Linked DNA regions of Schizosaccharomyces pombe. The protein of the gene in region 1 interacts with the protein of each later gene in a biochemical or structural test. Each region holds a gene or a part of one and is shown on either strand. Other genes may lie near its edges. The genes, in order: hri1 and tif211.

The links.
Region 2: of the proteins of hri1 (region 1) and tif211, one has a biochemical effect on the other in vitro, tested with the Schizosaccharomyces pombe proteins (2 studies listed by BioGRID).

The regions. Positions count from the first base shown.
Region 1 is NC_003424.3:4,817,280-4,822,423, forward strand, and holds hri1 (eIF2 alpha kinase Hri1), read right to left. Parts: upstream 3,373-5,144; 5' UTR 3,095-3,372; coding exon 980-3,094; 3' UTR 733-979; downstream 1-732. Other genes in the region: formin Fus1, read right to left, coding at 1-64; checkpoint clamp complex protein Hus1, read right to left, coding at 4,212-4,315, 4,373-4,967, 5,022-5,034, 5,100-5,144. UniProt on the Schizosaccharomyces pombe protein: Mediates down-regulation of protein synthesis in response to stress conditions by the phosphorylation of the alpha subunit of eIF-2 (tif211) on 'Ser-52'. Protein synthesis is inhibited at the level of initiation. Activity is inhibited in the presence of heme.
Region 2 is NC_003424.3:3,164,748-3,168,469, forward strand, and holds tif211 (translation initiation factor eIF2 alpha subunit), read left to right. Parts: upstream 1-1,680; 5' UTR 1,681-1,708; coding exon 1,709-1,778; exon of another isoform or gene 1,779-1,840; coding exon 1,841-2,011; exon of another isoform or gene 2,012-2,117; coding exon 2,118-2,797; 3' UTR 2,798-2,952; downstream 2,953-3,722. Other genes in the region: png1 (chromatin modification-related protein), read right to left, coding at 3,444-3,722. UniProt on the Schizosaccharomyces pombe protein: eIF-2 functions in the early steps of protein synthesis by forming a ternary complex with GTP and initiator tRNA. This complex binds to a 40S ribosomal subunit, followed by mRNA binding to form a 43S pre-initiation complex.

The DNA.
Region 1 (5,144 bases):
ACGATGAAATTTCTTTAACAATTGGTTTAGAGATTCTGATACCTTTAAAACTAGCCGTCATCATTAACAAGCAATAGCTAAAAAAGGTGAAACCATCAATAATATGTCCTATAATTACAGAAACAAGGTTTTTTGCTCGTAAACAATCCTTTTTGAGTTCAGATATAAGAAGTAAGGTAAAAGACTTACTAGAAAATTACTGAGTATTTAGAACATAACTTTCTTTGTTCGGTTTAACCGACGTAATATGATTCAAAGCAACAATTACATATGCAACGATCCATTTTATTGTACCCGTTAAAGAACAAAGAAATACTAACTGTGTTCGAAAACTATTTAGTTTTCCGATAAGTTCAAGCTCAAACACAAACGTAATTGGAAAGCGACAACTTGAAAGTAGTCCATATCAGAATTAACTGAATAATGCTGGAAATAAGTTTAGTGTCCATTCTAGTTTATATTTATTAATAAATGTTTTTTAAAAGACATTGAGAGGGTGGCGTACATACTGTGTCTTTAGAATAAGGCGCCTAATGAAGTGCTAGTTTACTATCACGCTAAAATTAAACAATCGCTTCTGCTGTTTAATTTATAGCTTGATTGATATTTGTTTTCCATAAATGAAAGACAGTTTGATTAAAAAGGATAAACATTTTGAGTACAAGATCAAGATCAAGAAAACTTAAAAAAATCAATCAGACTGTTGAACTGAAAACTAGCAACGAAAAAATGTACAAGATGAACTTTCAATTTAATATATTAAAATAAGAAAAATCTTTAATGCAGACTACTCTTTCGCACCTAAAAGCTCCAAAAACCATTCCAAGAGCATGGAAGATAACTCACTATAAACAAATCATAACAGTGGATAAACATAAAACGTAGGAAATATAAACATAAAATAACATAAACAACTAAATCTTGTCAAAAGCGAATTGTAAAAACAATTGAAGCAGTCCAAAGTAGTTCGTAACTAATACTAACAGTCGTAATTGGGGTTTAAAACTCGAAGTATGTTTAGTTCTGCTTTCAAATTGTTATTTCGTTTCTCAGCATCTTCCAATAAAGCTTGATATACATGAAGCTCATTGACTACCAAATCATGAAATAGATTGCTAGTCAAAAGTTGAGCAGCAGTTGGGCGCTTATTCGAAGAGCTGAGCATTGACCGGATTAAGCTAGCTTCCTCTGGCATGGAATCCAAGAAATCATGGGGGAAAATGCCCTTTTTTAAATTGGCGATAGCTGATGCCCTTTCCATGCGCGTGTTAAAAGGATACAGTAATTCAAAAAAGAGTATGCCCAATGCATATATGTCAGTAGACGAGTTGTTATTCATTACCGATCGCATGTGTTTTGAGAAAAGTTCAGGAGCTGCATACGTACTTGTACCGACAAAAGAAGATTCAGCTGAGGAGTTGGTCCCCTCTTCCAAATTATCTGACTGAGAAAGAACAAGACCGAAATCGCCTATCTTGGGCACAACACATAAAGTTCTTTGGTTCACTGGTTCGTACGCATTGCTAACCTCAACATTATCTTCATCAGAAAAATTAGGTAGACACACAGAGCAAGGCTCAGAATGTACACCACTAGATAGAAAAATATTTCGAGGTTTCAAATCACGATGGACTAAATGCATAGCATCGTGAAGATACAAAACGCCCTCTAAAATCCTTGCAAACAGTAAAATATAACAGTTACGTAGGCCTTTAGACATTACACCGTGAATATGCTTATTTCGTCTGTTTATGTGTTTCTCGAGTGTTTCTTCGCAAAGAGCCATTTGTATGTACAAACATAAGGGCTGTTGATCAAAGCTGGGAATATTGGAACATTCATCTTCCTCTCTTTCGGATAGAAATGAATCCATAAGTAACATTTCAGAAGCTGACTTCGTTGGCGCCAACTTTCCTAATGTGTCGACTTGTGATGTTGTTGAAGAACAATCATGTGACTCGGCATAATCCTGATCGGCCTCTTTCTTGAAAAGATCAGTCAAGTTGCAAGTCGAATTTTTGGTAGAGTAACAAGGAGTTAAATCATCTGCAACCGAGTCCTCTTGGAATAGTATCTGAACTGATGAAGGATAAGTATGCTGAAGTAACCCAGTATCCATATCAAACATAAAATTATCTATATCTGCTGATTGAGATAATGTCTCATCTGCCGAAGCTAAAGGTTCTTCTTCGATTTGCTTTTCAGATGACGGTAAGAGCTCGACCCAACTAGAAAAGAATCTTATCACATTGGGATGGTTTAATCTTGCCAAGGTCCTAGATTCACGGAATATGTTAGAAGAAGTGGAGAAAGAACGTAACCGAAGTGGAATTTTTTTTAAAGCATATTCAACTCCATCGAATTTATTTCGAGCTTTATACACTGAACCATAACCGCCTTTACCAAGTAACTCAAGTTCTTCAAAATCACTTGCATATCTTGACCTTTGGACTGTGGGAAAGCTATCAAAGTTGCTAAAAGACAAGTTACCGGTTCCATCTTTGTGCTCACAAAAATCAGCAAACGTGGAGGACTCCAAAGTGGTTTGTGGAAAGCAAGATTCCAATGCTTCAACTGGTAAATGATTTAACCTATTAGACAATACGTTTACTGAAGGCTTGACATTCATCACATCGTCTTCGTATCCACCATCACTCAATACGCTCAAGAAGGAAGCAGTTTTCGCCAAAACGCCATCAGGGCTGGAATACCTCGATTTCTTAGAATCCTTAGTAGAGCTCATGGGTAAGGTACTCCGAAAAGCTTTAGATAAGAGGTTATGAAGAGAATCGGCATAAGCATTACGAATTGGTTCAAGCTCCTCGGAGAACTCAAAATCTATGATACCTGAATTTTGAAGCGAATGAGCAACATATAAAAACATTTGCTTCGATTGCTCTGGAGTTTGATCAGAATGCTTACAAAAGCTTTCTAACAACGCAACGAGAAGCAACTTGCAGGAACTTTGAGTATCCGCGGTTTTTTTTTCGAAATTCTGTTTGTAACCGAGACCAATTGTCGGCATAATCCGACTGATATTTTCCTTGGCATAGTTGCAATCCCTTTTCGAACATTTAGTAGAAGTGCCGAGCATTCTTGTGTGAATGAATCAAATCAAAGCAAATAAGAAAAGAGAAAGAAGAATTGAATAAGATGAGTAATTTAAAACATGAAAATTATTCCTTTTTTTTTTCTCTAAATGAAACGAAATGTACAATCCTAATTATCAGTCTATATTGAATATATAACAATAATAGTAACAATGCTATCTATGAAAACAAGAAAGAATTTGCAATTAAGGAACGGTAAAACTATTATAGAAAGAAGGTACGTTTAAGTCAATTTATATGTCTGTATATGTGTTGTTTATGTAGCGGATTTCCCCGGATACCTCTCCATATTTAAGTTATTGTGGGATTTTCACTATCGTTACCTCTATTGCGATACCAACTTTTCTAGGTAACAACGTTCAGCCCCTTTCGTACTGAATGTTGGTACAGTTTACATGTGTAGCCGACTGCATCGGAGGAGGAATAACTATCGAACATAGTCAATTCCGATGACAGACAGCCTGAAATTTTCGCACTTTTAAAGAGGAACTCGCCATTTTCATCACTTCTACGTAAAATGTATAGCGATGCCTCCAAAGTACAAGAAAGAATAGGCGGAAATTAATAGAAGCTACAGTCAATGGCATATATCTTCTCAAAAAAACGATTAAAATATTCAATTTTTATTAAGTATATATTTCCCATTGAGCACTTAAATGTTCAATTGAGACTTTATAGATTTCTGAACAGTTGCTTGTCTAAAAGATTAAAGAAAGATGAACCAAGGTTTATTCATATTCAAGTTAATTGCTTGAAAACATACGTTTGTGTTTAATCGTATGTATCTCTCATTGAAAACGTGAAAACATATGGATTTTATCAACAGATTTTCTGTGACTTGAACATTATATTTCTTTTTGGTGTTATCCTTTTAAGAGATATCAACGGAATAGTAAAACACTGAGTTGCCGAGATTACAACAACTGTATAAAATAAATAAAAAAGAACGGTAAGATCGATAAAGGAAGAGAGAGAAAATAAGTATAAGCATGGTAGATGTTGATTAATCTCTTTTCATTTTAATGTACATTAAAAATGTGGCTAGTCACTCATAACAATTATTCGTTAATTAAATCAAATCATAAACAAATTGAAGTAACCTTAGTCCACATAGGTACTAATGTAGTATGTTAAAACAGCCGTATGTTCATCTTCTGGATCTGTTATATAAACATAAAGTACTAGCGCATGTCCTTCACAGAAACCTGTAATGTAAAAAGGTTAGTTCGTGGTCATAAAAAGGATTCTCTCATAGTACATACACGCTATTACACGCTTTGCAACACTGGATATTTTTAACATGTTGACTAAGTCCTTGCTGTCTAGTCTCATGTGAACAAATTCTTCGGGTGCCCTTGTTTGAGAGGGATGTCGACTGATGTCTTCGACTTGACTAGGATCTAACTCTGGATTCTCTAATCCTTTCCATTTTGTGCTTACTCTAGCTGAAGGTATGTTTACCGATAACTGCAATTCGCCTGACATGTTGGCTGACATTATAATACGGTCTGAAAGACTCTTGTATTTGTCCACGACGTGTCTTAGAAAATTCAGTTGTGGAAGGAATATATGACAGTCTGGTTCAGGAGCAGTTGGTTCCTTAATAACTGACACGTATGATTGTGATAGTACTCGAACAGGTATATTATGAGTCACAATATTCGAACCAAACGCCCTTCCACTCCAAGTGGTAGACAACGAAAGTAATGGCTGGTTATTCTTCTTGGATAGACGAACAGTAGAATCACTAGCGTTGGCCGCTGATCGTAAGGCTTTATAGAAATTATCTATAGGAACTTCTAGATTTATCACGTTGTCTGCATTGCTTTGGACGACATAGTCCTCAAATATTGTTTCCTTTCCGTTTACGTTAGTTAGGGCAATCAAATAGAAAAAGATAGTTAATCATACGACTTCTAAAACTCTGTTTCTTTATTAGTTTCACAATGTGATTTTTTTCACCGTTAAATGCTTAATATCTTCACTTACGACCAAACTTGAGTCATCCTAAAATCTGGCACTATCACAAAATTT
Region 2 (3,722 bases), 1.7 Mb from region 1:
AGCTCTTGTAGCTCAGTGGTAGAGCGCCTGTCTCGTAAACAGGAGGTCCAGTGTTCGAGTCACTGCCGGAGCAGTTTTTATATTTTTCGATCACAGATCGGCCTTTCTAATAAGCATTGAAAGCTACAAAATGAGTATACTAAGATACTTATTAATGCATATTCTTGTAAATAGGGTTTCTCACAATTCATCGAATATACATACTCAAATTCTGCCGTTACTAGTTGATTGCTGATTTCAAGGACATCTTGATTAATAAAATGGAAGAATCGCTGTAGGATCAACAGTTAATATTACCTTCGTTTTAAAAATGAGGAATCTCGTGCCGTTCAACCAAAGTAAAAATGAAACTTCGTCAAACTGCATGACTAAGTTTCCCCTTTCTGTTTTTGATGCTTTCATAGCACTGTCAAGAATACCGTTGCGCAAATATCTGGCAATTATATACATACCAGTTCATCGCGGCCTGATTTAAGTTTTGTACGTTTTATTGTTTTCAATTGTTTTTACTAGACAGCATACTGAAATATGCCTTCAACAGTTTTTAATTTTATCAGTTTGATTGAATACATCAGTTTCCCTAAATGCTTTCTATCTTTGCCTTCAAAAACTTATTGCTTATACATGTTATAAATATACTATTTAAACGTCTACGGCCATACCTAGGCGAAAACACCAGTTCCCGTCCGATCACTGCAGTTAAGCGTCTGAGGGCCTCGTTAGTACTATGGTTGGAGACAACATGGGAATCCGGGGTGCTGTAGGCTCATCTTTTTTTGTTGATGATTTGCTTCTTTTTATATTAACATATTTGGAAAATACTTGTAATTAATTTAAAGCGGCTTTTCTCATTCTAGGTACTAGATGAGTACTTTCGTTACAGCGCAATTCTTGTATTGACCAGGTACGAATCGGAATGGAGGACATCCCACAACAGACAAAAAATGAAATACAATTCACAAATTAGTACCACATCTTGTTCATTTTCATGAACAAGTGTTAAAGAACTTTTATATTTATATAAAAGACATATTCAACTGGTTGTCTTTACTAAGTTTAGATGCATTCTTGATTCAATGTATCTACGAGAAGCGCATTGAAAAAAAAAAGTTTGTTTGTAATAGTTTATATTCAAAGACTGTTGAAAACACATTTCCTCAACTATTCTTGAGTTTGGCATTGATAACCTTTTGAATTTCATTAATACGAGTTCTCACTTTTTTTTGTAATCCAAAAAACGGTGATGGATGGTTTGTAAGGCAATGGATTAACAACTTTTCAATAAAATAATTCTTTACTCTAGTCAAAGGAACAAGTGGAATCAATTAGACAGAGTCTTCTATTCGTAAACTTTCCAATTGTAATTTTCGTTTGAGGGAAAAGAAAGTTTAAGTATATTATCTGTAATTCTAAACGATGTAGTAAACTAGTAGTTTATTAAACACTTTAGTTTATTAAATACTTTACTGCTAGTTTATTCAGCGTTCGGCTGGTAAGCCAGTTATCACCGATCGTTATGTGCTTTTAGATACTAATAAATCTTCTTTAAGGAAACTTTTTAAATATAAAGAATAATTATTGATAAACAGTTAAGTTAAAATGACCAATGTCTGGGTTCTGAAAAGAAGCAAAATTGGCCCCTAGAGTTTAGAAGTGGGTAGTCCACACAAATTTTTACTCAGAACCAAACACTCAACACTTTGCAAAAATGTCGACGACAAGCTGCAGAATGTACGAGAATCGCTTCCCGGAAGTGGATGAACTCGTTGTTGTCAACGGTATGTAAAAAATGCACATGTTGTCTGTCTAAAGAAACGGTAATGGCTAATATTTCCAATAGTTCGTCAAATCCAGGAGATGGGCGCTTATGTAAAATTGTTGGAATACGATAATATTGAAGGAATGGTTTTGCTCTCTGAGCTTTCCAGACGTCGTATTCGTTCAGTACAAAAGCATATTCGCGTTGGTCGTAATGAAGTCGTCGTGGTCTTACGTGTCGACAAGGAAAAAGGTAAGAATTTATTAGTAGTTTTTTTTTTTTTTTTTTTTAAAAAAAAGAAAAACAAAAGGGGAAAAAAGGTTTATAAGTTGTTAGGAATGTACTAACCAGGATTAAGGATACATCGATCTTTCAAAGCGCCGTGTTAGCCCTGAGGATGTTGTAAAGTGCGAAGAACGCTTCAACAAATCTAAGGCTGTTCATTCCATTATGCGCCATATTGCTGAGAAGCATAATGTTCCTTTGGAGACCATGTATACCACAATTGGATGGCCATTATACCGCAAATATGGACATGCTTATGACGCCTTTAAGCTTGCTATTAGTAACCCAGATCATGTCTTTGAGGGTTTAGAACCTCCCAAATCGGGTGTTATTAATGATTTGTTGGCTCAAATCTCTCGTCGTCTGACGCCTCAGCCCATTAAAATTCGTGCTGACGTTGAAGTCACTTGCTTTGGCTACGAAGGTATTAACGCTATCAAGGCCGCTTTGAAGGCTGCTGAAGATGTTCATACCGAGGAGGTTCCTATCAAAGTTAAACTTGTTGCTCCTCCACTTTACGTCCTTTTGACAAACGCATTAGATAAGTCATTGGGTCTCAAAAAGCTAGAAGAGGCAATTGGTGCAATCGAAAAATCCATTACAGCATCCAATGGTACCTGTACTGTTAAAATGAAACCCAAGGCGGTTAGTGAAACTGACGAATTGGAGCTTGCCGATTTGATGAAAAAATTTGAAAAGGAAAATGCTGAAATCTCTGGTGATGAAGAGGATGACCAAAGCGGTTCTGAGTAAATGGATTAGACACTAGCTAATATACGCTTTTTCATTGTGAATTTTTGGCACTTTAGTGTTCCATTATAATCTGGGGTTCTTTTTATTTTGTACTATACACTTTATCAAATTTATCTAGTGATATCTATGGTTAAAAAATTTCCTCTTCTTTTTTCCGAATGCGTAAGAGTTCTTTTATATGTTACGAGATAATATGAAAACGCTAGACGCTGCATCTTGTTCCTTTGTATGTACAATAATAAGTTCAGTTCCAATATAGTAGAAATAATGGACAACAAATGCAATTACAAATAATAAAGTTACAAAAGACTTATTACTGTGGTTAGCTACGGCGTGTAATATCTGCTTTGGGGAGGATTGGGGAAATTAAAGAACTGAATTTCTTAATGTACAAGTAATCTGGTACTTATTATGTGAGTGAAAAACAAACAAGGACAAGAATAAGATAAAAAGGATTCGTAATCGTGAAGATATGATTAATAAATTAACCATTTTGCAAATCACATATACACAGCTTGAACAACGTATAATCAAATATAGTAAGTTCGGAACAGGTGAAAAATTAGCGGATATTAAAGCCCAAAAAAAAACAACAATGCTTGCATTCAATAATGGGAAGACCAACAGACTTTAGATTGGGGAAAAATTACTTAGCATCAACAAGCTTCTGATCCCTACAAGCTTCGCAATACCATGTACCTTCAGGAGGAGCTTTAAGACCAACACACTCCATATGGAACCATTCACGCTCACAATTAGCATTGTCACAAGCGACCATTTGCCCATATGATCCTTGCTGGCAAAAACAATACTTTTCATTATCCTCTTCCATATCTTCTTCTGAGACCATTTCATTCGGCGTTGTGGAATCTGCCTTAGTTTCTAACTGGGTGGTTGCAGTGGCATTCGAAACCTTCTGACCGCG